4 linked regions of the Drosophila melanogaster genome follow. The protein of the gene in region 1 interacts with the protein of each later gene in a pairwise test. Each region holds a gene or a part of one and is shown on either strand. Other genes may lie near its edges.

Region 1 (9,643 bases):
CTAGGCTGACGAATAATAGGAAAACGCAATTTGTATCATTTCAAGAGGGATTCCTGAACAAAGATACAAAATTCAAACTGCCAGAGACCATAAACACTTTGTTCCGACCAAGACTAAAAATGAAAAGAGGAAAAGGTAACAAGCATTTATAAATGCCGCAACAAAAGCTAGTGAAATGTGAGCCGGAGACTGGTATGAATTTCGAATTTTGGTTAAGCTATAGCTACTGGGGCGTGGCAGAAAAAGGGGCGGATTAGGTTCAAAGCAAATTGTTGCGGAAGGCAGGAATCAACATTATCATCAGCAAGCAGGATGCTGTTCAGTCGGTTATGGGATACTCATTCTCATTTTGGGCAAATGCAGATGAGGACGAGACAAAACACAGACACAAGTTTAGGGAAGGGGAGGCTTTTCCCTGTGTGTGTGTGCGTGTGTTTGTATATGTGTGGGTGGAGGCGTGGGGGAGTGTTTTGTGTCGCCTTCCGCATATTAATGAGCCAAGTGCCACAAAGCCAAGCTAAACGCGCTCTCATCAATTGCTCAATATTATGACTCTGGCTGGCAGAAATCTGCATACGAAACCCATATTGGTATGTATGCTGAATACTCAGCAAGCCCCGGGAAAACTATTTTGCATTCTTTGTTGCACACATTCTTTTGGTTTTCGTGAACTCTTATAAGAAGAAAAATGGAATTTAAGAAAAAACTATTTCAAATGTCCTTTAACAAAAAGACTAGATAAATAGAAATATAGTATAACCTAACTATAGTTGATCAAAAACTTTTCTAGCTATTTTGCCCTAATCTTTAATCTTGCCATTTATTGTAAAGCAAAAAAAAGGGTTCCATCAATATTAGTTTTAGAAATGAACATTTTTCTGTAGTTTTTTGAAAGATACTTTATAATCTGATCTACATCAACTTTTAATGAGTATACCAAATCGAACCAAATCGTTTCTTACCAAAACTGGGAAAACAATTTATCATTCTTCTGAACCACAAATTCACTCCTCTTTTTCGTATCTCCTCTTTAATTTAATATGAGTTAAAACACAGCTGGTGCTTGAATTTCAGACTCTTATGCACTCCACTTTCGGTTCACATAACTAGAATAATCAGAAATTATTTCGCTTTGGCTGCACCACAGTACGTAGCGTATACGCCGCGGTGTACGCGGGTGTGCGAAGGAGACGCGCAGCGCAAGTGGAACGCAACACGTGTTGGGCGACAGGTGCCGAGCGTTTGGCACACAACTCGACCGACCGACGCACGAATTCGAACTGAAAACTGAACCAGAATCCCCAAACGAAAATGGGAAGCGAGTGAGGCAGGCACGAGAACCGAAACAGGACGAAGGACGAAGCCACGAGGCACAAAGAGAGCGAGGACAATGAAGAGCACTGTGGCTAAGGTTCCTTCATTAGGTAAGCATATTATTTCATATATATCTAGCAACTGTATCACTTTAACTAAAGAAACCTAAGCATAGATAGTCTATGAAATATCTAAAATCCTTTAAATGTTATAACCCGTTCCACAGTCATTCTTTTCATTCAGAAAACTGTGCCAAAGTCATATTAGGACATTTTAAAGAGCGAAACGATTTTCTCTTTCGCTCGAACAGATTGTATGGCAGAATAGGGGGATATTTTCTCAAAGTTTGCGCTCTCAATCAGCTGTTTCCAGTGCCAGGGGGTTGAGTCCTTTAACATTGCAGGAGGTCAGGCATGGCGTGAAAGTCGCTTATCCTAGCTGCTGCTTCTGGCACCCCTCGTTTTTGTTGCGCTGCCGCTGGAGCGCCTGATGCTGATGGTCACGAAAAATTCATTGACCGCCCCAAGTAAAGCAGGTCGCTCGTAATTAAGGTTAAAATACACCAAATTAATTATTCTACCCTCTTTTCAATGCATAAGTAGAATAGGAAATGTTGTTGACAGGTTAAAAGATACAAATACTTGCAAAGATAACACTTCATTTTTAATGCTTTTTTATAGTTTTGGGCAAGAAAGCTTGGCAAGACATATAGTTCACTTGATGAGGATGATTTGGGATGACTATATCCAGCAAGACGCGACATTAAGTTTGTGGCACTTTATTGTTTTTAACATTTCAATACTATTTCAATATATATCGTATAGTGTTTGAGATCTTAAGATAAATTATTTATTATGTTAATACGCTTTGAGCACATTTCATTTAAATTTTTACCGCCCAAACGAAAGCTAAAGCTTCTCAAAGCTGTCTAATAAGTTTTACAGCTTATCTGTTAGGTTCCATCCCCCACTAAAAGCTCCCAGAATGAGCTTTATTTTGGATACCTTTCGTTTGGGGATCTGGGAATTTAAAGCGCTTGGCTCAGTCGGTTGCCCAACACCGTCGGCGACGACCTCCAAACAACCTTTTGGGGTCTCGCTCGGCATGTCTCGCTTATTTCGCTTTGGAATTTCACGTTGACGCCGCAGTCAGCGGTAGCAGAGGCATCGGCAGCGGCAGTAGCAGCGACACGGGCCGAAAATAAAAGCGTTAACCGCTCTCCTCCAGTGCAGCAGCAGCAGCGGACCCAGCCAGTAGCCAGCAGCTAATCACCACATCCCAGATTCAGTTTCCAGTTCGGTGAGTGGGCGTCATACGCAGTGAACAGAACCCCTGAGCCCCTTAAAAAAAATTCAGATATTTTTCCCCCCATTGGCGGCAGTGCAGTTGAAAAGTCGCGTAATCGTTCCCATTTCTCTGGGTGTTTCGTAATCCAAATCTACAGAGCAGCAGCGAATCTGTAGGCGTGTTAGTGTTAGTGAGTGCGTATTCGAATATAGTTTAATTATTCTCTAATCTTACCATTTCCGCGTGCTCGCCACTTTTATGACAAGTTCTAGAACCTCGAGGCTCTCGAGTGTTGTTGACCTATGCACCGCGGTTGAAGGAGTGGGGGGGCTACGCGAACTGCAGGCGATAAGAAGCCTTATCGGGTGACTTTTGGCTCACTTTCGTGAGTAGTAGTTTTCTCTACCGGCTCAACCGGCTCTCTTACTTTTCATCCGCTCTTTCATTCGAGTTCATTTGCTTGTTGGCAGGCTTTCAACTGCAATTTGTAGTCGCCGCTGCGGTTTTTCTTTATAAATAGTTGGCGCAAATGTTAAATGTATGTACTATACATCGCGATATACATATGTATACTTTCCCATCGCTCTCTCGCTTAGACTTCAATTAGCCAACGTCATCGTAAATTCATCAGATTGTTGACGTCTTCTCATGATAGACGCAATATGCTTTTGTCTATTGCATTTTATACCTACCATTTAATTGAGATTTCAGTGAATGAAGGAGAGCAAACATTTTACCGATAGTTTGTAGAGAGTACATGAGAAAAGAGGGGCAGAAGTTTAAGGGTTGTTTTGAAACCTACAGAAAACAAGTTTTGGTACTCCAAAGGACTTCCTTTCAAGATCAACCTGATTAGGATTTTTAAGAAGAGTTTTGAACATTTAAAACAACCAATTTATGTTCCTTTGATCGTTTATATCAAGCTTTGGGAAATTTTATAATGAATATAATGGAATTATAGGTATACATTCTCATTGTAAAGTATAAGCTAATCGATGAAATAAGACTAGATAAGGTACATTGGCTTATCTAGTAAACAGTTACCACAACAAAGTTTTTGGGGTCACATAATAAGGGCATAGATAGAAGTATGGGAGTGCTCGAAGTTTCCTATTTTCAGACAAGTATACAATTATTACCACCCATGTTTACGGCTAATCAGTTGACGTCAGTTCGTAGTAGTAGTAGTAGTATTATCTCAACTGTTGGATGTTCTTTTGACCCACTGTCTGCGTTCAAGGAGGCCGGACCTAAAATCTCGTTATGATAATGCAAAACCTTTGGAACTAAAACGCAACTGGGGGCTCGTTTTTTCGTCGTTTTCGATTCAAAATTTTCACTGATAGCAAGCTCACGAATACATATAGACGGACATGTGGCGGTTTATTTTTATAAACGGTCTCTTGATAGGAACGTAAATTTATTTTGATTGTTTTTTGTTGTCATGCGTTGGCTGCTCTTCGTTCCTCTTTCTTTTTTGTCATCGTATATATTTCGCCTAGTTTTCGAAACATTTCAGTCTTCGATTGATTGCCGGCAAGTGTAGGTGGGTGTTGTCTGCTGAGTGAATCCGCAACATCTATAGATAATTCTATAGATAAGGGTGTACATACATATCTAGTGTCGTTCTGTGAAGTGTGTTTAGATAACTGTTTAGAAATTAATAGATGAAAAAATGATTTGTATTCTAGAGATATATTAATATATTCTTAAACTGTGCAGTATTTTTAATATATGCATATATCAAGCTTTTATAATATCTATCTGTTCTTAGGAACCACAAGCTATTCACGCGTGTACAAAGTGTTAAATATATGGCGTGGGAAATGTGGGGTCGATGTGGTAAACAATATTTCGCGATAAGTTGCGGAGGTCTAATCTCTTAACCTGACATTTATGCCATTCCCAGTCCTTGGCTCACTGTCAATGTCAAACAAGTATAAAATGGGTTTTTAGTCATCGCAGATGACTTCGTATCTGTATCTACATATTGCTGGACACTAGCTATCTCTATCGCACTTCACACGCGCCACACGACTTTCGGTTTTCAACAATTTCTATTCGCATTTCGTAAGCAACAAATTTCGCTGGCAACATTTGTTGCTAAGGCTTGTTGCTTGACCTTGTTCAATGTCAAGCGAAAATTCATGCGCCCTGCGTTGGCGTCGCTGCCTGCAGGAACAGCGCAGCAGCAGCGGCAATAAAAGTGAAAGTTACCACGTCACGCATTATGCGGGTGTGAAGAAGACAGCTGCATTCGGTTAGAGTGAGACACAAGATTCCATGACTTTGATTACATCAGAGGGAATTATTGCCGAGGTTTCCGTGACTTTGCTCAGTTACAAAAACATCATCGTCGAGGTTGGTTCGGATTTTTCTTTGTGATCTAAGCTTAAAACAATTGTTCGGTTTTTGCAAATAGTTTTTAGCAAATTACAGACACTATAAAATAAGACACTATATAATATTTCATTCCAAAAAGTGCAGTGATACTTTTCCAACTTTGTATAGTACAATCCAAGAGGATTTTTCTAAAATGTGAATTTTCATTGATGTTTGTGAGAACCTCTAAAAAAGCTCTATTAAAAGGCAACATTTTATATGTGAATGTTGAGAGTGTAGGACAAACCTAGAAAAAAAAAAATGTGAGAGAGAGAGAGCGAAGAGCTGCAGATATAGAGAAAAGCACGTTTTCCGTGCATGCGCCTTTAATCTCATTCAATCACCCGCTCTTTGCCATCGAATCAGCTGTGAAATACACTACCATGCAAAGCATTTATTATCTTCAATGGAAAAATATTTTTAAATTGGAAAAAACACCAGTGACATTGACCTGACACTGAAAACAAAATTATATAATACCGCATCATTAAACAACAGCATATGACTCAATGGCTCTAATCGGTTAACTCAGAGTTCCACTTTAAATAACTTGACCTTTACAAATATTCTTTTTATTTTATGGAAATAATAATTAGGTCAGTTCAGTAAAATAATCCAACACTTGATTGATAGCTATCTCTGTAGCCGTTGTTATCTTTTTCAGTAGGAACATATGTAACTTTGAGTTACTTGATTTTGGTTGTCAGACTGTGCGGATCGTATACGAAATTTTAGTCCAAATTTTTAGTTTTATTTTTTACCTCGAAATATTTCAAAATTCTGTGCTTACGCAATGGTTTCCAATCATCCGCGCCGCTGCGGAATTCGATAGCTAGCTTATTAAAACACAATGTCCGCTACTCTTTTTCATCCAACAAAATAACACCACACCAAATCAAACGTAAATGGATCTTCGTGCTGCAGAACTACACTCGAATCTCAAAAATGACGACCTACTTCAACTACCCCAGCAAGGAGCTGCAGGATGAGCTGCGCGAAATCGCCCAGAAAATCGTTGCCCCCGGCAAGGGAATCCTCGCCGCCGATGAGTCCGGCCCAACCATGGGCAAGCGTCTGCAGGACATCGGCGTGGAGAACACCGAGGACAACCGCCGTGCCTACCGTCAGCTGTTGTTCAGCACTGACCCCAAGCTGGCCGAGAACATCTCTGGAGTGATCCTGTTCCACGAGACCCTCTACCAGAAGGCCGATGATGGCACCCCCTTCGCCGAGATCCTGAAGAAGAAGGGAATCATTCTGGGCATCAAGGTCGACAAGGGTGTTGTCCCACTGTTCGGCTCTGAGGATGAGGTCACCACCCAGGGTCTGGATGACCTGGCCGCCCGTTGCGCCCAGTACAAGAAGGACGGTTGCGACTTCGCCAAGTGGCGTTGCGTCCTGAAGATCGGCAAGAACACCCCATCCTACCAGTCGATCCTGGAGAACGCCAATGTCCTGGCCCGCTACGCCTCCATCTGCCAGTCGCAGCGCATCGTCCCAATTGTGGAGCCCGAGGTTCTGCCCGATGGCGATCACGATCTGGACCGCGCCCAGAAGGTCACCGAGACCGTCCTGGCCGCCGTCTACAAGGCCCTGAGCGACCACCACGTCTACCTGGAGGGTACTCTGCTGAAGCCCAACATGGTCACCGCCGGTCAGTCGGCCAAGAAGAACACCCCCGAGGAGATCGCCCTGGCCACCGTGCAGGCTCTGCGCCGCACCGTTCCCGCCGCCGTTACTGGTGAGTCATCAAATCCAACTGTAATCTCTGGATTGGAATGCATTCACCTTGTTTTTGCAATGAATCCTATCTAATCGATTGTTTGTCTACAGGCGTGACCTTCCTGTCTGGAGGTCAGTCCGAGGAGGAGGCCACCGTCAACCTGAGTGCCATCAACAACGTTCCCTTGATCCGCCCATGGGCCCTCACCTTCTCGTACGGTCGTGCCCTGCAGGCCTCCGTCCTGCGTGCCTGGGCTGGCAAGAAGGAGAACATTGCTGCCGGCCAGAACGAGCTGCTTAAGCGCGCCAAGGTGAGTCCTTGGATAGTTGTATCTATGCACGATTGATTGCAGTTAGCAATTTAAGTGGTGAATGTATTAAGAGTGTCAGGTATATGCTTCGGAAGTATTCCTTGGGCTAAGAAATATTATACATGTATAATATAACATACAGCATATTCCCAGCCATTGATTCCATTTCCAATCCCAAATGACCACAATGTTCTTCTAATCCTCTAATCTTATCCCTTTCATTTCCCTACCATTATTTGTAACCTTTTTTTGCTTTTGTACGTGAGACATTAATTTCATCATCAATAACCACACATTAATCATGCCTAGGCTAACGGAGAGGCGGCTTGTGGTAACTATACAGCTGGATCGGTTAAGGGGTTCGCTGGAAAAGATACTTTGCATGTGGATGACCACAGGTATTGATCAAAGGATTGAAGAATTGCTGCCTTAAGATGGCGATGAACAAGCTTTCATGGGGTAACTTAAGAATCATAGCCGCCTTTCACCAAATCCGACTTATCGCAAACGCCTTTAACATACTGTCCTCGTGCCACTCATGCTTCGCTTGCTCTAAACCTAATCCACAAAAGCCCAAAATCTGATTAATCCCAACCAAAATCCCGCTCTCCTCCCGCTTCCACAGGCCAATTCCCAGGCCTGTCAGGGTATTTACGTGCCCGGCTCAATTCCGTCGTTTGCCGGCAATGCCAACCTCTTTGTCGCCCAGCACAAATACTAAGTCCTAAATGCCACGCACTAATCCCGAGTCACAATCGAGCGAAGCTATATCCCAAGCCGAATCCAGATAATCCGCAAGAGTTACTGATCGAGGCCCAGCTGGAGTGAGACGGGCAACATTTATATTCCTCCAACAATGGAACTGCAAATATATTCCTTTTATACATTTTTACATTTTACCGAATAAACTGACTAGACCTTAAAGAAAATATTTTTGGCGAACAGAAATAAATTATATATTTCTAATAATACCTTGCTTATGATTTTGTTTACTTTAGTTAGCTTTAAACAAAAATTCGATTTTATTTTACCTTTTAATTTAATTTAAATACATTTTAATTAAAAATGTCTTGTCTAACTTTATTCATGAAAGCCCTTTGCAAACTTCCTACTGTTAATTAGAATAATAATTCGGAATATCTGTACCTGACAGTTAAGTTGAAAACAACGTAAAATTCGTTCGGAGAGCTGTTACATATATTTAATCGAATCATAATTTTCCTCCAAAGAACTTGCAAGATTAAATTTTCCAAAACTTTCCGCAGTACGCAGCATGTATTCGTGCGCTTGGATGCGTGGAAAGTTTTTAGAAAATTGCCGCAGGTGGAAAAAGTGGCGGAAGTTCTTCGAGCGCAGCAAAAATCAGTGTGAAAACTTTTTCATGCTGGCCGAAAAACTTTTTTGCTGCGGCTCGCCAAGTTACAACTAAGTAATAATTAGGAGTAGGCATTTCTCACAACGAAATTAATCAATTTTCCCCGCTTTCTTTACCCTCCCCCAGGCCAACGGTGATGCTGCTCAGGGCAAGTACGTTGCCGGCAGCGCTGGTGCCGGATCTGGATCCCTGTTCGTGGCCAACCACGCCTACTAAGGCGTTTGGTTGGACCTTGGCTACACGTTACTACAAAAAAAAAAAATACGAAGCAGATTGCTGGAAAAGTTTGGCAGATTTGTTTATTTTTACCTTAGTTTCGAGAGCTAAGCAAAGCAAGCATTACAAAAAATAACCAAAAAAAAAAAGATGAACGATTACACTTTCAAAACATGTTATATATATGTAGTACGTGACATTTTTGCAAGTTTATTATATTATAACATTATTTTAGAGAACAACTAAATGATGAGTGCAGAAGAAAGGATTGAATATGTTCGATGGAGAAACAATTCAACAATTCAAACAATTTTATCTTTAGTTTTAAGCACATGAACCTATTATTGTTGAAGTTATTACATTTCTATTCTATTATTATGATTATGCAAGATTTCAATGAAAACAAAAGGATATGTCGTAAATCGCTAGGCTAAAGCACATTTTATGGTGAAAACAACAGCAATCACTATCAGCAACACCTAAATGTATGAGGCTTGTAACATTGAAGTCGCACAACGTTTTTTGAATTTTTTTAATGTTTTATAAAAAGATCCACTATGAAAATCGATGTTTTACCATTATTATTATTATTAAACTTTATATTTATGATTGATAAGTATAAGTGAAACAAATGACGAGAATAAACAAACACATTAAAATAAACCCGAAAAGCCCCCAAAACAACTTTATTAACCTTATATACATATATTTACATTGTTAAAAGAGAACTTGTTGTTGCAAAATACTAAAAGAAAATATATGAATTTATATATTCAACATATGGACTTCAGTGTCCAATGGCCTCTAAACTGTGCTGGGGCACAATGCTTGTTACTAGAATTTTTTGAAACCAACTCTGATTCTCTATCCAAAACGCGATGGGTAGTAACAACGGCAGCAACGACATTATCACAGTACATATTTAAATACAAAAATATTGTACCAATGACTAACCCACATATTTATCAAATCATGTTTTAATTTACACGTTATTCAAGTTGCAAATTCTGCATATCGTTGTTATTCACACAATTGT
Region 2 (7,904 bases), on another chromosome or scaffold:
GCGACTGGCCGGCGTCAAGTGCTAAACATTTTGGCGAATCCCGAGGCAGTGAAATTCGAAAAAGAGATCTATCTGACCAAAGAGATCTAATTGAAGAGAAACCACTGAGAGAATCATGCAGCAATCAACAATTTTTTGGCACTCGGCTCTTCAGTCTCAGCAGCGCTCATCACTCGCCGCAAGGTCAACAAAAAGTGCTTAAAAACTAAACAAAACAAACAATTATAAGCGGAGCACCCACTCCGTTTGCCCCAACCCACGACCCCCATCCCTTCATCTCACTGTCTTTTCCATGCCCCCAAGAGGTAACCACACTTGCCGCAGATGACCTTGCAATCGTTGGTGGAGCGCCTCGGGCAGCAGGGATAGATGGGCAGCAGGGCAAAGCAGCTGGAAATGGATAAGGAAATAATCTGAATTAGAAATATAAATACTTCCGATCTTTGTTATTATCCTAATAGCCCTATACTACGATTAAATAATCTTATTTATATTCCATCCTAAGAATTTACTTTAAAGAAATGTCCTGGCCTTGCACTCACCACATGGTAAGGAGTCGCTCCAGGCGGACTCCCTGCTCGTGCAATCGCTCGTGGCACTCCGGACAGTACATCTGGCGGAGGCAACTAATGTTGGTGGCAGCGGGCGGCGGAGGTGATACCTTCTCGGCCAGTTGGCCTGTGGAGTTGCTCTTCCGGCAGAAGTAGGTATCCGGCTCGGAGTCCTCGGCATAGCCGTAGGGATAGCCTCTGTGTGGGGGCGTGGCCAGGAGCAGCTGGTCCAAGGCCTGAGCCGACTTCTGCTTGACCTGGCCGCAGTTGGGGTTCAGGTTAATCTCCACCAGATCCGCTGCGAACTCCTCGTCGTCGGGAGCTTGAAGGTGGAACTTTAGCTGACGGCTCATGTTGTTGAACTGACTCGACTCGGGTTTTCTATTTGCCTATAAATTGGGTTATTTTACAATTGAAACATAAGAAACATAAGTCAAACAGCTATCGCTTGGCGAGGGGGATTTATTATTATATTTTTTGGGCTGAGGGGGGAGTTAGACAAACCAGTTGTTCATCTGTTTGTCAAGCCCCCGTATTTGCCTAACACTATTTTCATGGTTGCGATGTTAACGGCTGCACTTGAACGTAGATCCCATGAGGAAAGCTTCCACAAAGCTGCCGGCGAGTGGGTGGTAAATGGAGCTTTTTCTATAAAAAATATACACAGTTATCTTAACCCATTGAAGATCGAAGTCTGTTTTTATTTTGACTTGAATAATTAAGACATTTCATAAGGTTTTTCAGGAAATAGTATCAAGCACGGAAAATATATATATTATTTTTAATCACAAATTAAGCAAGTTACACATTAATATCCAATATCCAATAAATAATTAAAAAAAATAAAGGCTTCACAAATGGAATGATGATGCTTCAACTGGCAAAGAATCATATCTACATATGTACATATATATAAACCGGTCACGCATTTGGTAAATTACAAAAATATTATATTATGGCGAGAGCACTCGAGTCGACAACCTGTGTTTGTTTATACTCTCTCCTCGCAAAATACACGTACTAAATGTTACATATGTATATTTTGGCCTTATTCATTGCCTTTATATGCAATAAAGGTGTTATCAAACAAGTGACTCATCTGTCGCCTATTCGGAGGAGAAGCATCGCTGTAGCTCACTAAATCAAGTGCACAATAAAAGAGGTATCCGATTATTAGTTCGACAGAAACCCCACTTGTATGGTAGCTATCACCTCTCGACGATAAGATAGTAGCCAATCGTTGAGGTATTGCGGGAGCCACAGTTTAAGTTCGTTCCTCAGTGCAACGCCAGCCAGCAAAGCGATCGGTTCAGTTCGGCCGGAAATCCAGAGTCTGCATCAAGAAGAAACATAATCCGAAACTATGGACAGCAAGCAGCCTCCACCGTACAGTGAACAGTCCGGATACACTCCCGCACAAACCTATCAGCCCGGTGGCCCCACCCAGCCACCACTGTACCCACCGATGCCGCAGCCACCGCAGTCCTCAACGGTGATCATCCAGACCACCACAACCTCCAACCTGGTGCCCATCGGCAGTGGACCCACCCGCATCCGCTGTCCCTCCTGTCACGCCGAAGTACTGACCACCGTGAAGTCCACTCCTTCCGGCAGGACGCACTGCTGGGCCCTCATCCTGTGCCTGTTCATGTGAGTCTTATAGTCACTAGTCATCTGATCTGAAGTCACTGCTTGCCACCATATGTATGTATGTATGTTGATTGGTCTCAGGAGCTTTGGGCCAACGAAAGTATCTTAGGGGGGACTTAGTGCTTCATTAATCCAGTCAAATGACCTTTTTATAAAATTGCGCAAAATGGAGTAAACCATTTTTAAAAGCAATACAAATCGGATATGTTGCCTATTAAATTCAGTAATATACATAGATGATATGATATCCTATAGATGATATCCTAACAATCTAGATATGTTTTCGTATCGCCCAAGCAGAAATGTTCTATAACCATTTTATTGCCAACTCGTTACAATAGCTCGGTTAAATGTTAAAAAGCTACGCCCATGAACCACTTGCGGCCCCTTATCGCTTGGAAAAAACAATAGGTTTCTACAGGTATTGCGACTGTGTGTACTGGTAATATGTGAAAACATTGTTATCTCAACTGGAACTGGAGTTGAGTCAGATAACGAATCCGAGTGGAAAGACGGGGTGAAAGCAAGCAAACTGACTGATTACGGCCTGTAGACGTCGTAAAGGCCAATTCGGAATTAGTGCTCTGACTAATAGTTTAATTCCCCGAACTTATCTAATCGATTCGTTTTCCACTCTATCCACACAGCTGCTGGCCGTGCGTATGCCTACCTTACTGCATGGACTCCTGCCAGAATGCCAACCACTACTGCCCCAACTGCAGCGCCTACATCGGCACCTACGAGAACTAACTAACTAACGCCTATTTATGCATACAAACGTATATACCTATAGAGAACCCTAAGCACTAGCGTCATAACCGAGAAAAATTGAACTGTAAATACACATGTACGAACGCCACACATTAAACTCATGAGACTCACACAGGAAACAGAAATGCGACAAGATATCTTGGGACAAGGCACTCTTTCCGCTAAATGGATTATGAAGTAATTTAATATTTTCAGAAATGTCTATGATAATGTTGACATTATTTAGTATTTTCCACTACATTTTGTACTGGTACTAAACAATTTCGATCGATCATTACGAGAAACCAACGCCAACATTTTAATGACCATTTTAAAACAATCTTTTTACTTTTTACTATCGCTTAAAAACCGTAATCAGTAAAATGGATCATAAATATCATAAATAGCTAAGACTATATCAATTGTTGTCTAGGAAACATAAACCCTTCTGGCACCTACTCAAGCCAACAACTGGAAATGGCCAAATGGCACAGAGCTACTGGAACCGAATGTCAATCGATTAGGTACTGCACTGGCCGACTCCTCTTGTACCCCTCCATATCGTCATAGTCATAGTAGGTTTCACCTAAAAAGTACTTGTCGATTAGTCAGAAAAGATAACGATTGCGATAGAGCAATGTTGTCATTAAATGGCGGGCTATTTCAGTGCATGCCCCGCCGCAAACATGAGCAGCACATGGATGGGCAGAGCTCCAGAACCGGCCGACACGGAAATGGTGACCGTAACCACGCAGCCAAACTATGGGGTGGTGGTGACCCAGATACCCGTCTACACCCTGAACGGAGTGGGGCCGGGCGCACATCCACTGGCTGTGGGCTGCAAGCCGATGAGGGTGAGGTGTCCGTCCTGCAGGGGCGAGGTCACCACCAGTCTGGCCACGTCCCCCACCCGCAAGACCCACATGTGCGCTCTGACCTTGTATATCTGCTGGTGAGTGGGGCGTCAGGATACCACCGGGCTTACTAACTTTGCTAACCTGATTCTCCAGCTGCTGGCCCTTCATCTGCCTTCCCTACTTCATCAACTACTGCAAGAGTGTCCAGCACTACTGTCCCAACTGTGGATGCCACATTGGGAGCTATAGCATTTGATCAAGTGCTGTGTCTCCGCACTGCCAAAAATGCCTTCCATGTCAAGACTTAATCAAGATTAGCCATATATGTATACAGATACATAAAATAATAACGTTTTAAATTTAAGTTCTTTTTGTTAATGACGGATGGTTTCTACTACTCTCACTGCACATATGAAGTAATCTTTTCTGGTCCATAATTTCCTCACCTAGTGTGCCAGTAGATAGATTTTATATTCGTATTAGGATAAATACCCAGAATATGAGGAAAGCGAATCAATTGAATACCGATACCGATAAGGCAGTTCTGAGTTTAATGAAACTGTCATCGATATACATATACGGAAGCTTTCAGTATTATATCAGTGCTCGTTCGCAGCTGTAAGCAACTGGTTGATATTTTTAGTGTGATTTGAAGAGTATAGAAAAGCATGCGTTGCTACAAGCGCGTAGACTCCCCGCCGCCCTACTCGGATCCATTCGCCACCGCTCCTCCAGCGGAGGACGTCATGCAGCAGAACCTGGCGTCGCCCGCACATCCCAATCCGGTGATACCCGTGATGGCCCAAACCATGCCGGTGTTGCAGCCCGTAAGCGTGATGCATCACCAGACGACAGTGCTGGTGGACAATACCCGCCAGGGAACGATCTGTCCCCACTGCAACGCTCGGATTCGCCTTCGCGTGGAGCACCATCCTACCGGATCAACTTACTGTATGGCGGCGTTGCTCTGCCTATTCCTGTAAGTAGATCGCATTTATGGTTGCAAGTATAGCAACAAAGGTTTGTACATACATAATGTGTATGTAAGCAAACGGAAAAAGAAATGTTTTTACTAGTCTGCTATATCTGTGGCCGCAATTGTTTTGCTTCTTCCTGGACAAGCTATGAGAAATTGCTGATCGTGCCTTATAAGCTATATACTCTATTTCCCATCTCTATCCACCAGATGCTGGCCCTGCGTCTGCGCCCCTTGCTGCTGCAACTGTTGCTACAAGACCTCCCAGTACTGTCCCAACTGCAACTCCTGCTTGGGTTCGTTTTGAAGACGCAGCGAAAACACTCGCCGATTTCATATCATTTCATTTTATATATATGTATATATATATACATAACCAACTATACATACATATATGTATGTATGTTCATATCTCCTTATGTATCGACGGCGTCAATGTGGTGTCTTCATCACTTAACATACATAAAAATATGTTTGCTTAGTGAGCAAAATAAGCTGACAGCGAAAAAATAAACAAATAGATTTTGAAGCGAATGGAATTTTCTTTAATTTCTGTTTCTGGGTATCTGGCTACATTGTTGCTGCAGACAACTAGATTTGCAGAAAAAATAATGTGAAACTTAATTGTTCATACGTTTTTTTTTTTTGTTTTTGTGTACTTTTTGGCGGTCTTTTCCCGAAACTTTTTCGTAGCACAACTCTTTTGTGTCCAGCAATAAATGTTGATATGAAACTGTTTTGAACCGGTAAAATGTTGCTGGGACGAACCGGCATGTTGGCACAGTTTAAATTGATGCTAAGATGCTTCAAGATTACTGTTCATGCTATTAAATGAAATCACTGAAGTTCTTTGCATTATAATTGAATATTTAGTAAAATATTTGAATTTCTGCTAAATGTTTAGTTCTTAAGAAATGGAATAAAAGGATTTTAATTTAACTCAGCCTAGGGATACGCTGTAATCAATTTTAAGGATGTATATAAATATCACTTCCCAGTTAGGCAACATAATGTTGCTAACGGAAATACTTTTGGAAGTGTAGTGTCCCGCTTCGCGCCCTAAACTTCTGACCGCACAACACTTTCGCAGCCCAAACAGTGCGCATTAACTTTTTGTCTCTCTGTGAAATCGGAATTCTACTTTATTTATTTTGACAACGTACCCACCCATACAGATTGTAAGTATGACGGGAGAGATATATTATGCAAGCCTAGGATTGGGTCAAACATGAGCAACGGACTATTATAGTCAGGTCTAATTGGGTAATATCTGGTTGTTTAGATGTTTACCGCTGCTTTGCCGCTCCCCAAAAAATTTACTTTTGCTTGGGGGAGAACTCAGCAAAGACATACAGGACGACAGTAGGATTTCGGGGGGAATGTTAATCACTGGCGACGGACACACCCGCTGTTAAATAAGGATACTGTGCTGGGTGGTTTGCGCTAGTGAGAACATACATAAATAGATTGTGTTGATTTTGGATAGGACCAGACCGAGCAAGCAAGTTGCACCAAACGACGAGCAAAGATGATGGATGGAATCGGGGTTGAGCGGGGCTCAGACACACGCGGTTGTGCGATGACGGCGTCGGCACGAAGCTTGCCACATGGCACAAGAGATTCCGTGGCCCACGAGGATGACCTCACGGCGGCAGGAGGGATTGCGCAGCACCGTGGTGCCATCGACGGGAGATAAGGCGGATTACAGCTTGTTTTGCATGGCGGGTGTGCAATTAAAATCCCCATTAACCAGCCAATTTAATGCTCATGCACCAGCGGCACGCGACGTATTCAAGTTTTCAAGGTCTGCGCTGCAATCAATATGAGAGTTATTAGAGTTTCCTGTGCTTTCTTTCTGCAGCTCCGCCATCGAAATGTCCACTTCCGTTGGCCCGGAACCGTGCATCGTGGTCTGCCCCAGTTGCCGTCAACAGGTTACCACTCGTGTGGAGCCGAAAGCCACCACCAAGACTCACCTGATAGCATTGATTATGTGCCTTACCTTGTAAGCCATGTTCGATATTGATTTCTTAACATTCTGGGTGCATTCTCATTGAGTGATCTCTTTCGTGCAGCCTTTGGCCCTGCTTGCTGCCTGTACTGCACTCAATGCGCCCGGAACTCCGACCACCACTGTCCATCTTGCAACGCCTACATTGGCACCTACGAGCGCTGAGCAACTTCCGCCGGAAGTTGTTTTTTTTTTTTTGTCGTGGACTGCAGCCAGCAGCCGTGCCGAAATGCAGCCCCCATTACTTATCCCCACTTGATCTATTTTTAACTCTCTCACATTTATTACTACGCACTATTTTGATAACAAAACAAATCATTGTAGTGCCGGCATATGTATTCTTCAGCACACCAATAAAAGGGTTCAAGGAAGAAACGAGTGGATTTTACCTGGGGGTTGATTTGTTTTAGAGACAACGCAATTCTTGAGCAGAGTTGAGTATTTCTTATGTTTTCAATAAATATGCAAATTGTTGTTATATACGTGCTAATAGCATAGCTGGAAGGACCATTTCGGAAGGGTAAAAGCTACTGGTTTGTTTACCTGACAATGGAATACCCTACTAAGTGCTAACATTTCTGTTTTATTGGTAAGTTTTGATATTAATTAATTCATCATGGCTGAGCAATTTCTTACTAAAGCTTTTCATCCTGCAAAAAAAAAAGAACACTTACTCATGTAAAAGCCCTTATTCTGATAGCCACATAATATTTAACGGAAATCGCTTAGCAAGCCATCCGACATAGTAGGGCTATATAGAATTCGCATCGCGCCGCAACTCGAAAGTTCGCCGAGCAATGTTGGAGGAGCTCTCTGCGGTTTCAGTCGCTGTCGGCAATTCAAACGCGTAGCACACATCGGTCGGAATAATTAGAATGGAGAAGAACTTTCAATACGAGAATATGCAGCCTCAGGCTCCGGGTTTCCAGGCACCGCCCAGTTATGATAGCGCACCGCAGCAGGTCTATCCTCAGCTCCATCAGGGACAGGGAGTGATATTGCAGGGTGAGAATACAGAGAACTATGAATCAATCGGAAATAATGGTCAATTCTTCTGTGCAATTCAAACATAAAATATAATATCGCATATTATACGAAATCCAATCGTG
Region 3 (5,221 bases), on another chromosome or scaffold:
TATCACCGGTCTCCAAATGCCAACTGGTGTCCGATGTCCACGTCCGATTCGCCATGTTCTTTGAAAATTAAATGCGTTTCGTACGTGACACGCAATCCAATCCCCAGCCAGTTGAAAGCGAAAACGGAGTGAACTGTTGTCAATTGCATTATGCTGAAATTGTCAGCTTGAGCGTTAGAATTTTTGATTAAACACTTATAATCAATATTTATGCGATCAACGATTTGGCGTTGAGGTGACCGCCAAGGTCACCAAGCCCGTTCCCCAAACGATTGTTTTATGTCACGTCCTGAACTATCATTACATGAAATAAAGTGAGGATGGTTAAATGTAAATAATAGGTGCAAGCAAAAATATATACAAATTAGTTTTAAATTGCATTTAAGAAATTACTTCAACTACAAATTTGTTTTACTTTATACAAATTTGTCAATATTGTCAGCAAGTCTTAAATCGTTTGATTTTTTTAAACCAATAAGTTATCTAAGTTGAGTATGAGGGTGATTCTAACTATAAAATATATTATTTATATAATAAATGGCTTTTAGGTGCCATAATTAAATTCAGTACAACATAAGTTTTAAATATTTCAAGGCTTCGGGCATTGGACTAAAATAGATTTTTGTCCGCTTCCATTTAACCAATATCCTTTAACTTCGCTCCAAAATTTACGACTAGCCATTAATTTCACCGTCCATCACATTAAGAGCGTTTTAATGTTGACCGATTGGTTTAATCGAGGTGGAGACACTCTCAGATTTTGGACTGATTTCTGGCGAAACCTCGGACATCTACATCTGCTTCCTATTTCTGGTCACGTCGTGGGCGCATAAAGACGCCGCAGACACCGCCGATCGTGGGTAACCAAGACCATAGTGGAGTGCCGACGTCAGACCGTAGGTCCAAAAAAGGATGCCCACGCTGGGTCCACGCGCCGCACACTAAACAGGTGCCCATCCAAGTCCTACCTATAAAAGCGCCCATGGAGGCTCTTCCAGTCATCAGTCGTTGGTTCAGCCTTCCCACAGATACACTTGAATCCATCAATCTCCACCATGGCAAAGCTCCAGGTTATCCTTATTGCTGCAGCCCTCAGCCTGTTGGCCGTTTCCCAAGCCCAGCAACAGCGCTATTCGCAGCGCCTAAGCCGCGGACGTTCGAGGTACTCCGCTCGGCAGGAGCTGGCTCCCGCTGACGCAGCTGATCCGGATGCCGTCACACCCTATCCCTCGGCAGATGAGCTGAAGCCGGAAGTGCCCTTCGACGAGGCTGCTGCTCCCTCGGCCGCCGGGCCCACACCGGATGCCGTCTATGGACCGCCCGATGCTGCTCCTAACAGCGTTCCCGACGAGGTCTACGGCCCACCGGACGTGACCGGAAACGATCTGCCCGCTGCCGCCGACATTCCGGCGGAGCAGCAGGCCCGTTTGGTAGCTGCCAGGAGGGCCGCCAACTACCGGAGAGTAGCTAAGCCCGTGGCCTATCGCCGTCCACTTTCCGCCGCAGCTCGTCCGGCCAAATTGAGTGCTGCCCGCTCCACCGTGCGACGCTTCTAAGTGAAAATCAGGTAAGGCTTTGAGAACTCATCAAGAATAACTTTTGAACACCAAAAAAACAATAAACAATGAAATGATTAACCATATAGAAGATCCTTTAAATATTTCTTTCTATTTTGCTTGCAATTCCAGCAGCCAACTCAAAACAAAAACCCATGACGATCCAACCAGCCACGATGACGACAAAAACACACACAGAAATTCTTTTTCACCTGATCCCACACTCTACACATAAAAAAATCACACATCCGATTATAATATAATGCAAATAAATCTGGTTTCGAGATAAAACGAACTTCTTTTGGCAGTCATACCAGTGAATCACTTCGGTACAGACGGGAAAGAAACTTTCCTAGACGCGTCCAAAAGCCAATTTTCAGCCAACTTGATCAAGAAGCTATTGGTCACCGAGAGAGTGGGTAAAGGGGAAGACCTGGAACCGGTTTGGGAACGCACGCTTCGCAAACTGGTGACGAATTTGGGATTGCCCCGACCGCAAAAAAAAAAAACAAGAAATACGGCAGTCTGAGCTCCGAGTGAAAAATAAATACTCTAATCTTGAACTCGATCCAGGGCAGTCTGGGTAATCAGTGTGGGAAAAAATTCAGAGGTTTCAAAAGAGAGATAATGAAAAACAAATTATTTTTTCTTATAGAAACATGATAACAAGAAATTCAAATAAAAACTGCACGTTAAAATGGTTTCCAGCACGGTAAAAAGAATAATTACAACATTAAGAACATTAACTGCACTTATGGAATCATAAATATGACAAAAAGTTCAAAACAAAAGTTATGAGGAAAAGTTCTCTAGGAATTATCCGGAAGAATAACTATATTCCAGCACACATAATCACCAAATTCAATGATTCATTTAATTGCATTTTCAAATTTGAAATGTTCGCGAATTGTCAAGGGTCGAAGCAAGAGTATTTTTCGCCATTAAGATAAGCACATTACACATCACAAAGTAAGGAAGTTAAGGAATTATTCCCTTCGACAATAAAGCACCTATACCTATATCTTCACAATACAACTACTACAAGATTGAACATTTAATTAGTCGCATTAAAAGTCATTACTATAGTATACACCGAAAAGAAACTATGCAGTTTCACATATATACGTCTTTTTAACCACTATTAAAAATGCCTTCACTTTTTATTTGCCTTCCCTTGATATACGAAGTGAAATTCATATTTAGCTTGGATACTTTAAAAACGCAATTTATAATAATAAATTTTTCTTTCTGTGCAACTCGTTTGATTTGAAGAAAAGCTGCTGTGGAGCAGAGAGCCAAAGCTTATTTAAATGATCTTCCCAGCCGCCTGTACTCAGTTGTCGTAGAAGATCAGACCGGATTACTTCGAGTAAAGCTGCCGGAGAAACGCGTGCAGAAAGTGAAATTTTCATTGCAACAATGTTGAGACGAATGTTTGCCGTGGCCATCATTGCCATGACTTTGTTGGAAAATATTCGAGCCCAACGGCCCTCCTTTGCGGGATTGAGGCCACCAGGTGGACTAAGTCAGAAGGACAAGTACCACGCAACTCAAAACACAGCCGTCGAGAATATCACCGGAGTGGACATAGCTACGAGATTTGGAGAGCCATCCAGTTCGCAGAGGCCAGCTCTAGTCAATCTACCGTTTGGAGCCTCCCAGAAGCCGCCGATTGGAGTTCCCCTAGTACTGCCAATAAGTGGGTCTGCTGCGGAGGCGGCTCCCACAGTGGCCAACCGATTTGGAGCAGAGGACAGTCCACAGTTCACAACGCAGCCCACCAGTTCCACAGCCGGAAGACCCGCAACATCAGTGGCCCCCGTTTTCAACCAGCTGCCCATCGATGCCCATGGTGACCGCGAGTGGGTCAACCACTTGAGTCAGCTGCCCGTGGAGCAGCAGCCCTTCTGGTTCATTAATTACCAGGCCATTGAGGCCCATCGGAATAGCTCGAGACCGAATGTGGGTGGCCTGGAGACGCGGGCATCTTTCTTCCGCGGTTAACTATTGAAATTAATAACAACAATGAGATTTTTACTTACTCAAATATGTGCGAATTTAAATATAGAATTACCTATTTATTTTATATAATGAAAAGCAAGATTTGTGTTTATAGGTGACGATAAGGGAAACAACTCAAAGTTGATAAGATTGATGGCTTGAAAATTAGTTAACAACAGTAGGCTTTGATCACCTTAAAAGAAATAATCTACAAGCTAAACATTACATATTACCAAACAGAAACATAGTCGTTCGACTTTTTAAAAAAGTCAAGTACTCTCAATCCATATATTTTTTCCCTCGTTCAGATCGAACAATCAAATCAGATTTTAATTTCTTCGTGTATATACAGCAGCCGCAGTGATGTGATCTCAGAAACAATTTAAGCTAGAAAGCTCTTAGTTACTCTACGGGTGTACTAGACTCGAAGAGAGTATGTATCAGGTAAAACGAAGTATTTCCGACCATATGATGTATATATATTCTTGAACAGAATCACTAACCAAGTCGATCTGGCCACGTCAGTCTGTTCGTTCGTATGAAAGTTAAACGCTTTTAAAAAGGGTTTTGATTTTTCTATTTTATTGTATTTTATATCGGTATACCACATCATAATAGACAAAGGGGCGTGTCTATTCCCCCACAAAACGCTTCAAACTGTTATACCCACACTTGTGAAAAATGTTGAAATTGTATTATTTTTTTTTTTAATATTTTCCAATATTGATGCCAGAAAAATGTTGAAATTTCTCGTTCGCTCGTCGACAAGCTGAGTAATGGGTATCTGACATTCGGGCAACTTGACTATAGCGTTTTTTCATATTGTACTTATATACATCGAAATGATTTTCGTTTACAAAGTAAGGTTATAAAATATAAACCTGTGTGATAAAAGAATTGCAAAATCAAATTTCAGAAATGTGTTATTTCTGGGATTCGCCCATGGTCACCCCCACAACCACTACGTCCACAATAGAATGTAAATTAATTCCCTATTTGGATGCAAATTCACAACTTTGTGCGCATAGAGACACTTCATTACTTTTAAATGTTTACTATAAATTTGATGTTCATTAAAATAGAAAGAAACAAACTTGTGTTCAAATAAGGAGGATGCTGCGACTGTGGGATAAGTGTTACTTGCAGTACTTGGTTAGGTTAAGAAAAAACCATGTAATATTGGTATGTGTTAAAGGAATGAGTAGCCTAAAAAATGGTGCAGGTTATTGGCTGAATAAGTGTAATACAATTGGGGAGGTGATTAAAGGAGCCCAAACATTTTAAAATGTACAAGATTTGAAGAGCCTTTACTTCGCAACAGGATATTATCAAGCTTTTTATGGATCACCCCAAAGGTCGTCCTTTTTGTGGCTTCTGCCCTCCAAGTCAGAGGAGTTTGTCAGCCATGTCCAACTTGAAACAGCCGCCCTTGGACCAGCAGCCCTTTTGGTTTCTAAACTATTAAGCAATCGAAGAACTAAGACACGAAGGAATTAGTTGAACGGTTGGCGATTTTTTTTTCATAATTTTCAGTTTGAAAATCATTATTGAGAGAATGAGGATGTCCTTTACTTCTTTTATTAATTTTATTTAAAGTTTATTTACAAACATTTTAATTTGGTCTGATCTTAACATAGATTTCATATAATTAATTATTAGGCGCA
Region 4 (9,592 bases), on another chromosome or scaffold:
TTGCAGTGTGCCCGTTTGCCGAAAATTCCGCTAAGCCGCACTGGTAGTGACTCAAGTAAAAATTTTATCACATTAGTTTATTATTTAAACAGCTTATCTTTAGAAAATATTTATTAGCTACAAATATCCTTTGCTTTATTTTTTTGAATTTCAGTTACTCATAGCACAACTTAAGTTTGAAATCTAAGGCAAACTTACTAATTTTTTTTTGGAAATAAAAATATACATTTAAAAAAAAAAGCAAACGTTAGTTTTTAGTTTAATAAAACTGTTTTAAACACTAAATTAGAAAATACATACTTGCAGACTCCAATATTTCTTAAATTGCATTCGGCCTAATGTAAATTTTAAAATTAGCTGTTTATCGTGTTTTAACGATTTGTCCTTTAAAATGCGAGCGCATTACACACCCTTTCCCAGTAATAAGATCGTTTAAATAGATTTTTTCAATGTATAGATTTATTCGTTAATGTTTCTTCTCTAATGCGTTCATTTCAATTGTTTGCGTTGATTGTAAAAAATAAAACAATAATCGTAATAAACGTTAAAACAAGTTGTACTGCCTAGATACGTAGTGCCAGAGTAAAGACCGCGTTTCATTCAATTGCTTCGTCACTGTCATATAGAAAATGCGTTGTGGAAAATGAAAAGCGAAACATTCACGTTCAATTTCAAATGATATATGTAGTCTTAGTTTTGTACAATCCATCCGAAGGTAAGGTAAGAATTTTGACTTAGGGTTTGGTTAGCCCTCGCAATTGTTTGGTTTCGACTAGCCCAAACTGGCTAAACTAAATTAATTTTGTTTTACTGTTCGTTAATCGTTTAAAACTATTATATAAAGTTTAGTTCAGATTTGTGGTTAACTCCTTTCGGGACAACGCAGAGGGGTCTGGGCCTGGTGGAACACGGCTGCATAGTGTTGCTGCATTCTACTTCTTGTCGGCACCCGCATTGGACTGCGTGGAGTACGAATATTGAGACCAGTAATGATTGGCGGCACCGCCATCATTATTGCCAGCGCCGCCGCCGACATTTACGCCTGATCCGCCACTGGCATTCCCAGCCGCTGCTCCGCCAGAGCCCTGCTGCTGCTGCTGTTAAAGAAACAATATCTTTAGTATTCTCGCTTCCAATGACTTTCATAAGACTCCTCCTGCTTACCTGCCACCAGGACATCCACTGTTGTTGCTGCTGCGGATCGGCACTCTGCCAGGCCTGTTGGTTGCCATAACCTGCTGGGAGAATCAACATAACTCGTATAGTCTTCGCCCTTAAGCAGTCGAACACTGCGTCACTTACTCTGCATTTGGTTATAGGCCCAGTATTGTTGCTGGCCCGCCGCTGCTTGCTGAGGTTGTTGGTATTGTTGTGACTGCTGCTGAGTCTGCCAGATGCCCGTTTGTTGATGCTGCGGCGCCTGCTGTTGCTGATGGTGTTGACTGTACGTACTCCACTTGCCGCTAAGGGAGGCCTACAGGAACGATCGAGATCTTAGCCAGCTGTCATGCGTCGAGGATTTGGTCGCACACTTACCTTGCCTCCGCCAGGTGCTCCACCTTGTTGCTTGTACTGATCGTAGCCACCGCCTACAGCGGTGTTATTGCCATACTTGGGTAGCGATTGACCAGCTGACCGCTCATAGCCACCGCGACTATCTTCTTTGGTGTCGCGGTGGCCAGGCCGAAAATCCCGTTGTTGATGAGTACCACCTCCCGAGCGATAGCTACTCTGGCTGCTGCCCCGGTTCCGGTCGTTACTGCCCATTCGACTGCGGTCGTTGCCACGGTCTCGATCGCGATAGTCCCGCGAGCTGCCGTAGCCGCGGTCGTCATACCCACTTCTGCGGTTGTTCTGCATCCAGTTTTGCTGACCACCACCACCACCACCACCACCGCCGCCGCCGCCACCACCACCGCTGCCGCCTGCGTATCCACGGTTGCGATTGTCGTATCCACGACTGCCGCTTCCACCGCCACCATAGCCGCGATCATCGTACCCGCTTCTGCGGCTGTTCTGCACCCAATTTTGCTGGCCACCGCTACCGCTGTTGTAGTTGCGGCGATTGTCGTAGCCACGACTGCCGCCTCCACCACTATTGCTGGAGTAACCGCCACCGCCGCCTCCCCTGCGGGAGTCGCTCCAACGACTTTCGTGCCGCTGGCCGCCATAATCACGACGTCGGTCATCATTGTATCGATTCCGGTTCCGGTCATCACGACGATAGTTGTCGCGACTTCCTCGGGATCTCTTGTCACGCGACCTCTCCGCGTCAATGGCCTTTTTGCCCTTCTCGTTGTACTTCTTGACCTCGCTCTTGGCCTCGTCACCAGTCAGCTCCGTGTAGTTTATATCATCGAACCAGCCAAACTCCAGCGAGGGAAGTGTGAAGTTGGCTGGAAAAAGATTGCGTGTACATCATCAATAAGGCTGCACAATTGCTAAAATCGCTCATTATCATTACAGATTAGGAATTATTGTAGATGGAGTATAGAGGGAAAGAAGGGATCAACTTTGGCAACCGAACGTAAAAGGGCGCAAAAATTTCGATTTTCAAGAAATCCAGTTGTGAATAAAGTCCATCCTTTATACGTTCCAGTTGCCAAGTGGGGGTTGTTATAGAATAAATGTTAATGAATAATGGTAATAATAATAATCAAATTATGAGATATTTTGAAGGGCTTACAGTTACAATTACGTATAGATACATAAAGTGCAGCTGCTTACAAACTAAATACGTTACATAAGTTTTTATAATGTTTTTCATTTTAACAAGAATGCCTCCTTATTTAGATAGGTAGAATAATAAGTTATACGATCGTACATTATTCTGGATTTTTTTTTTCAATTCGTTGCTTTGGTGTGGTGGATAATATTTACCTCGTAAATTATTAATTGTTGATTCTTTAACTGTAAAAGCATTTCCCTTTTCCTCTTTTTCGGCGATGCGACGTTTCAATTCATCTTCGCTGGGTATGCAAACGACCGCAATTCGCTTGAAGTCGTTAAAACCCTTCATTTTACGTCGCTGGGCCGAGGCATACACATTGGTCTACAAGAATACAGTTGGTTGATCGGTTGGTTGGTTGGTGTTGTTTGGTTGAATTGGGTTCAGATTTTGTCTGCCAGTTGTTGTTTGGTTGGATTTGGTTTGGTTGTTGTTGGGACAGTCGTCGAACTTGAGAAACACGTTGATGATACGGCTCGGTTGGAGACCTCGGTCTACCGGGATCGAACCCAACTCGCATTGAGCTCGCTTGCTTTCAGCGCTTATAATCTAACACATACCTGTTGCACGGCGGGACACCCACTTCCCGCCCACACTCCGCCGGCAAGGGAGCGGGGCCTTACGGAAGCGGTGCGCGCACACCAACATAATACCTAGGGGGCGGCGACGGGTTAATGTTAACCCGGCCACATCTAACAACAGTTGACTTAATACTTTGCATAAGGATAACAGAATGTACTATGGGGGAAAAGTAGTCGCGGTTGGCTGTGCTGCTGGCTGTAGGATGAAGCATCGCATAGCTTTCTGTAGATACACATACATATATATGAGAATAGTTGGCATTTAGAGAGAGAGATAGAGTAGAGATAGTAGGTACTAATACGTATATGTGATTAGATTGTAGGCGAACGACTCGTCGATCGGATTTGTGTTTGTCTACTTACAGTGGCATCCATGCCGCTCGCTCCTCCTCCTCCTCCTTCTTCCATACTTTACTTCACTCCATTCCATTACACTCACTCATCTTTCTCCAATGCCATTTCCATATCCATATCCACTTCCATCCCCACTTTTCTTACAATTCCCTCTTAACTGCCCCGTCAACTGTTGCGCCTGCACGTAAAACTTAAGCTAATGGGAAGTCCACAGATACTTACTGCCTCAAACTTAAGCACTCTAATTATCGGATCGACTTACAATTAGGACATACCTGCACGTTGGTGCCCCTTCTAGGGGCACTTGGGCACTCTATTAAGTTAGAGCGATGAGCAAAAAAAAAATGCATACTCAAATGTACAATTAAAAAATATATAGCGCAACATTGCTGTGCCCCGCTGGTGGAACCCCTCAATCCCGAGGGGATCAGAGCCCCAGTGTGTTGGGTGGGCGCCAAAGTCATCATCAACGTATAATTCTCGCTTGTTTCGTTTTGTGTTTGGTTATCGTTCGTTCATAGTGTAATCTTGTGTGTTTGTGGGCTGGTGTTTTGTTTCGGGTGTATGTAGGTCATTTGTTAATGGTTTACCTGATCAAGTATGAAATTTCGACGCCGCTTCATGGCAATATCTTCCAGAGCCGCCAAGCTATTTAAGCATATCTCGTACACCTTGTCCCATCGACCTTTGTGCACAGTCTTGCGAGAGGCGCCATCGATCTGCAAATATATTGGTCAGTACTGAATATCTTCAGCGCCTAGCTATGTACATTTATTAACCAACTTACTGTCATCTTTGAAATGAATGCGTCGGGTCCAATCAACTCGTAACGCTTGTCAGCATTCTCGGCCACATGCTTATGGGCCCAATGGGTCTTTCCGGCTCCTGGCAAGCCAACCAGTAAAATGACTTCGCACTCCTTGCGAGATCCGACGCGTTGTGGACCGGAAACCAGCTTTTCGACAGGTACTAAGCCGATCAATACATAGCCTTCCAGCAGGGCAGCTGTATCCCTTGGCTCGGGCACGACATCCTCGTACTCATCTTCGGTCGTCTGCGACCTGTCCTTTTCCTTTTCGGATTCAGCCTTTTCCGAATCTCCATCGGTTTTGGGTCGCTTGTTCGGCGAGGGGCCATCCTCATCTTCTTCATCATTGTTTTCGGAGGGTTTCTTATCCTCAGATGCCTTTTCATCGTTTGCCTGTTCTGCAGCAGCATCACCATTTGACACAGCTGCAGTTTCTGACGACTTTTCGGTAGAAGTTTCAGCTAAAAGGAAAACCCAAAATATTAGCATTTTGTGGGATAACTGATTTTCAATCAATCATTACTCACCAGTTTCCGAAGCCTCGGTAGCTTCTGATTCGGGCTTAGCAGCTTCAGCAGGAGCCTCGACTTTAGTTTCGGCTTCTGTTTCCGTTTTTGGCGCCGCCTCATCCTCTTTGGCTTTTTCAGGATCTTCGGCTTCCTCTTCATCTTTCTCCGAAGAAGCCTTGCCATCTTCATCCTTTTTCTCCACCTCATCATCATCCGCCGTGGCTTCGTCCAAGACCTTCCACTTCTCGCCATCGTTGTCATCCTTATCGTCGTCCTTATCCTTGTCTTCGTCTTTACGTGGCTTGCGGCGCTTGCGCGTGGGCCTCTCGGCATTCACCAACAGCTGCTCGGTGTCAGAGAAATTCACTAAGTATTCGTAGCCCTTGGTAACGATGTGCGGAAACAGGGCTCCCTCCTCGCCCAGTATGCTCTTCTCAAACTCGAACGCAACTCCAAGATCCTCGCCGTTCAGAGTGTAGTTAATTGTGCACGGCTCACTTTCCAGATCTAAATAGCAGCCGATAACGTCATCCAGCTGGTAAGGCTTGCCGTAATCGGTAAACTCGCTCTGAGTAGCCTTACGCCCGGTCTCGCAATAGCCAAATGAATGCTCGGCCTCGCCTAGCAACAAGGAGCTCTTGGGCATTGAAAATCCCACGCGGAATCCTCGCACATGCGGCTCATCGCGGAAGTAGTGCGAGTTCTCCGGCACCGACTCCTCGGAAAGGCGCACCTCAAAGCACACTTTGCCTTCGCGCACTCCGTAGTTTGCGCGGGCTCCGGACCAAATAAGCGAGTAAATTTCCGATGTCAGGGGTTTGGCCGATGCAAACGTGGTTGGGTCGATGCGTAAATGCAAGTCAGAGTCCACTGGAATATAAAAACAAAGGGATATTAGTTACTGTGAATGATGGATCAAGCTTTGAACGTTAAGGAATGTGTGTATCGAATTCGTTGCAAACAGCAAGTCTACTTACGCCAGCTCAATCCGACTTTGTTCTCCTCGATGGTTGGCTCGTCCTCAGGAACTGTGCGTTCCTCGGCCGCTGCCTTTGACTCACGCTTGTCACCTACGCTGCCGCGATGTTTGGACGAGCGGGAGCCACTGCGCGATCGGGATTTGGACCGACTGTGTGATCGCTTGCGGCGTTCCGGGGGCTGATCCTCAGGCTTAGCTGCTGGCTCGGTCTCCTCCGCCGTTTTCGGGGCGGCCGAATCCTCCTCATCAACGTCCATTTTCTGGCTGTCGCCATTTGACTGATGCTCGGCCACAGTGCTCTCGGCTGGTTTCTCCTCTACAGGCTCCTCAGTTTGTGTAGGTTCCTGCTCCTCAGGGGCAGCATCATGATCCTCTTCCATGGGTTCATCAGCCACTTCATTCTGTGGTACGACGGCGGGTACTGCCTCTTCGATTGTCTCCTGCTTGTCGTCTGTCTCCGACTTTTCATCAAACTCTTCGGGCTCAGGCTGCGACTCCTCATTGACCGCTTGGTTGACGGTTGTGTCCTCTGTCACTGCTGCAGCTGGCTCAGCTTCCTCCGGCTCACTTTGTTCTGGTTCCGGCTCGGCTGCTGGCTGTTCACTTTCTGGTTCTGGCTGTGGCACTGTCTTATCCTCCGGCTGCTCCTCCTCTTCGAGAGTATCGAGCACTGGTTCTGCGGCCACGGGAGCAGCTTGCACCGGCGATGGAGAGCGGGACATAGAGCGCGTGCGACGCTGACGGCGGCTTGGTGTGACCGGCGCATTTTCTGGACGCGGGAAAAGTGAAATGTGATTACTTTATCATTATATAAGGAAAACTTACAACTAACTCACGCTCAGTCGCACACAAACAGAAACCGAAACACAAGCATGACTTGGACGCGGCAAAGCACACGCACACAGTGACACCCACACACATACACACTGGAACAATCGGGCGGTCAAATGACGCATACACACAAACTTACCACCGTCGCCGGCTCCTCCTTCCACATATGCCCTCAGGCGCTCGACGAGCACCGCTTTGACTCCTTTGGTGTCCAGGCCGCGCGACTGGAGCTCGTTGCGCAGGTCCACCACCTTCATCTTCTCCAGCTTCGCCACATCCATTCTTGCGCTTCAATTTGGATTGGCGGCAGAAACACACACGCTTATTCACTCAATGTGCACCGCTGAAAAGCTGGCGATGTGAAAAACTGAATTGGGGGAATTTCGGGCCAAATCACGCTGTCTGGCAAATGACACCCACACTGGAAATGTCACCGTAGTCAAGTCGCAATGGTTGCTAGCACCGTGCGCGCACAATTAAAACGCAATATTCGTTTTTACATTCGCATTTGTTGCGAATAAATAAATGGACCTAAATATTATACCGAACGCGTTGAAGTGAAGTTGGCTGCGATTGGGAAAACGAAAACGTAGAGCTACCGTGCTTGGGTTCGATACTTGTGCTTGGTGGCTATCGATAACAGGCTGAACATCACTAGCGATAGAAGGCGCTTGTGTGCATCAACCGTTTGCATGTGCGCTGCAAGAAAATATTTAATGATTGAATGATTTGTAGTAAATACTATATCAATAAAAATTAATAGGCAAAGTCAATGTTTATTTCAAAACATAATTAATAGTATTAAAACCTGCATAACAAAGTGTTTTTCGTAAATTGACTTTAGGTATAATGGCTGTTTGGCACAGGCATTAACAACGACTCCGTGGCGCAACGGTAGCGCGTCCGACTCCAGATCGGAAGGTTGCGTGTTCAAATCACGTCGGGGTCAAGCAATTGATGTTTTTTTTTCATTATTTTTAGTTTGCAAACTATATAAAATAAATACGAATTTAAGATTTCAAAAAAAAAAAACAGTATACAAAATTTGCATCGGCCGGGAATCGAACCCGGGCCGCCCGCGTGGCAGGCGAGCATTCTACCACTGAACCACCGATGCTTAAATACTAGATGTCTTACCTTCAATATAAGCTTGGATTGCAAATCCATTGGGTCATTTCTATAAATTGCTAAAATAGTTTAAGGTTGATTAATAAAATGTAATGCTGAAATAAAACTAACTTAATACGCAGCGTTGCTAATATACTTATTACGAAAAACTGCATGTTTTTTATATTATACCATTTTCCTAACTTGTTATAACATCCTAACTTCCTAACTTTTGTAACATCGATTGTGGCCATGCCCCTTCAGCAGAACAAGTGCTCATTAACACTCACTTATAATTAAATTTGAAATATATTTTATCGACATGCCATACTCATGTCGCTATAAAATCTATAAGTTAAAGATGCACAATCCAAAATTTCGCAATTGGAGCGTTTAAATTCAGGAATATGTCTTTTTGGTGGATGATACAAAGCCTTTTGATCCTGTGGACAGTGTCAGTGGTAAGAATAAATAAAATAATCAATAAAGAAATTTGTGGCAATAATATATTTATTTTTAATTTTTAGGGATCAAAAAAAAGCAACTATGAAGTCCGCTTTGAGTCGATAGATGCCGTAAAAGGAAGTACCGAAACCCTTTTTCTATACCAGCTACGATTGCTCGGTAGAAACCGCATGATAAATGGAACTCTTATTTTCTTAGAAGACTTGGACGAAACGTTCGACGTCCTTTTCGAATCCCACGCATTTAAAAATGGATATTGGGTCAAGGGAATCGTGAACGCCGCCGCCAGCAAACCCTGCGAATTTTTCAATCGCTACTACATTTCCTTTTTCCTAGTAAAATCGACCGAATCGAATTTACCCACTACCGGTGCTGAAATGTGTCCTTTTCGAAAGGGTACATATTTTGTGAAAAACGGCGTTGTTTCTACCGAAGATTGGCCACCCATTGTCTTTAAAGGTCTTAACAGATTCACCATTTCGTATCTAAAAAATGGCGAATGTGTTGGTGGAGTTCAGTTAACAATTAGTATAGCAGAAATCATCACATAGTCTTAAAAATTTATAATACCACGAAAAAATATATGGCATAAATGAAAACTCAATTATTTCTCTGTGTGTGTGTGTATGTATAGCCAAGCCATTTTTATATATTTTTCTTCTTACATTTTTGATTACAGTTTATAGTTACAGCTAAAATGATTGCATTCGAAATTGTTTCGTTTCGTTTACACGGAATATGCGCATATATATTTAGCTAAGAATCTCTTTTAAATAGTAATAGGTTCTTTAATGGGGTTCACATAAATATTTACATGCACATTTGCACATAGAATTGTAATAATTATTTATCGTTATATATCGCTTTTACGTTCCCAGTTCAGATCCATTTCTAAGGCTCGTCCCAAGCAACCGTCTCCAGCGTCGGAACTCAATCTTGTATCTAATTGAAGAGAGATTATGTATGTCGCATTCATCAATTGCTATTGCTAATCGGCCGATAATTACAGCAGATACAAATTAATCAGGAAATCAATGACAATTACAGCCGAATACAATCAACTTAACGATCAAAACTTAAACAAAAGGCAAGCAGAAGCATTTGCGGTGGACAGCGACAATTAACACATGCACCAGTCAATTAACACATCTGCGACATTTTCGAACTGCGTAACAACTAAACACTAAAATAAGCTTTAATATCTAACCAGCACCCAGAAGCCCGTGGCGT

What was found.
Region 2: the proteins of Ald1 (region 1) and CG13510 interact in a two-hybrid assay, tested with the Drosophila melanogaster proteins (one large-scale study listed by BioGRID).
Region 3: the proteins of Ald1 (region 1) and CG14567 interact in a two-hybrid assay, tested with the Drosophila melanogaster proteins (one large-scale study listed by BioGRID).
Region 4: the proteins of Ald1 (region 1) and CG30122 interact in a two-hybrid assay, tested with the Drosophila melanogaster proteins (one large-scale study listed by BioGRID).

What each region holds. Positions count from the first base shown.
Region 1 is NT_033777.3:26,254,306-26,263,948, reverse strand, and holds Ald1 (aldolase 1), read left to right. Parts: upstream 1-2,357; 5' UTR 2,358-2,613; exon of another isoform or gene 2,614-2,795; intron 2,796-2,835; exon of another isoform or gene 2,836-3,047; intron 3,048-4,113; exon of another isoform or gene 4,114-4,147; intron 4,148-4,735; exon of another isoform or gene 4,736-4,962; intron 4,963-5,669; exon of another isoform or gene 5,670-5,907; 5' UTR 5,908-5,928; coding exon 5,929-6,724; intron 6,725-6,816; coding exon 6,817-7,016; intron 7,017-7,325; coding exon of another isoform or gene 7,326-7,421; exon of another isoform or gene 7,422-7,475; intron 7,476-7,641; coding exon 7,642-7,737; 3' UTR 7,738-7,983; downstream 7,984-9,643. UniProt on the Drosophila melanogaster protein: Enzyme of the glycolytic pathway. Glycolysis is essential in glial cells but not in neurons; neurons rely on the citric acid cycle for their energy needs, and on lactate and alanine secreted into the hemolymph by glial cells to fuel it.
Region 2 is NT_033778.4:22,656,075-22,663,978, forward strand, and holds CG13510 (uncharacterized protein), read left to right. Parts: upstream 1-1,826; 5' UTR 1,827-1,914; coding exon 1,915-2,201; intron 2,202-2,848; coding exon 2,849-2,951; 3' UTR 2,952-3,637; coding exon of another isoform or gene 3,638-3,903; intron 3,904-3,961; coding exon of another isoform or gene 3,962-4,064; 3' UTR 4,065-4,476; coding exon of another isoform or gene 4,477-4,787; intron 4,788-4,994; coding exon of another isoform or gene 4,995-5,091; 3' UTR 5,092-5,315; downstream 5,316-7,904. Other genes in the region: CG43325 (uncharacterized protein), read right to left, coding at 279-390, 543-904; CG13511 (uncharacterized protein), read left to right, coding at 3,638-3,903, 3,962-4,064; CG42565 (uncharacterized protein), read left to right, coding at 4,477-4,787, 4,995-5,091; CG4250 (uncharacterized protein), read left to right, coding at 7,671-7,839.
Region 3 is NT_037436.4:21,736,101-21,741,321, reverse strand, and holds CG14567 (uncharacterized protein), read left to right. Parts: upstream 1-2,891; 5' UTR 2,892-2,987; coding exon 2,988-3,560; 3' UTR 3,561-3,616; downstream 3,617-5,221. Other genes in the region: CG14566 (uncharacterized protein), read left to right, coding at 1,056-1,556.
Region 4 is NT_033778.4:18,631,890-18,641,481, forward strand, and holds CG30122 (uncharacterized protein), read right to left. Parts: upstream 7,382-9,592; 5' UTR 7,072-7,381; coding exon 6,930-7,071; intron 6,729-6,929; coding exon 5,958-6,728; intron 5,851-5,957; coding exon 4,999-5,850; intron 4,933-4,998; coding exon 4,451-4,932; intron 4,383-4,450; coding exon 4,254-4,382; intron 3,053-4,253; coding exon 2,881-3,052; intron 2,397-2,880; coding exon 1,537-2,396; intron 1,475-1,536; coding exon 1,303-1,474; intron 1,239-1,302; coding exon 1,165-1,238; intron 1,098-1,164; coding exon 933-1,097; 3' UTR 439-932; downstream 1-438. Other genes in the region: CheA56a (chemosensory protein A 56a), read left to right, coding at 8,305-8,358, 8,425-8,913; Ntan1 (N-terminal amidohydrolase 1), read right to left, coding at 9,558-9,592.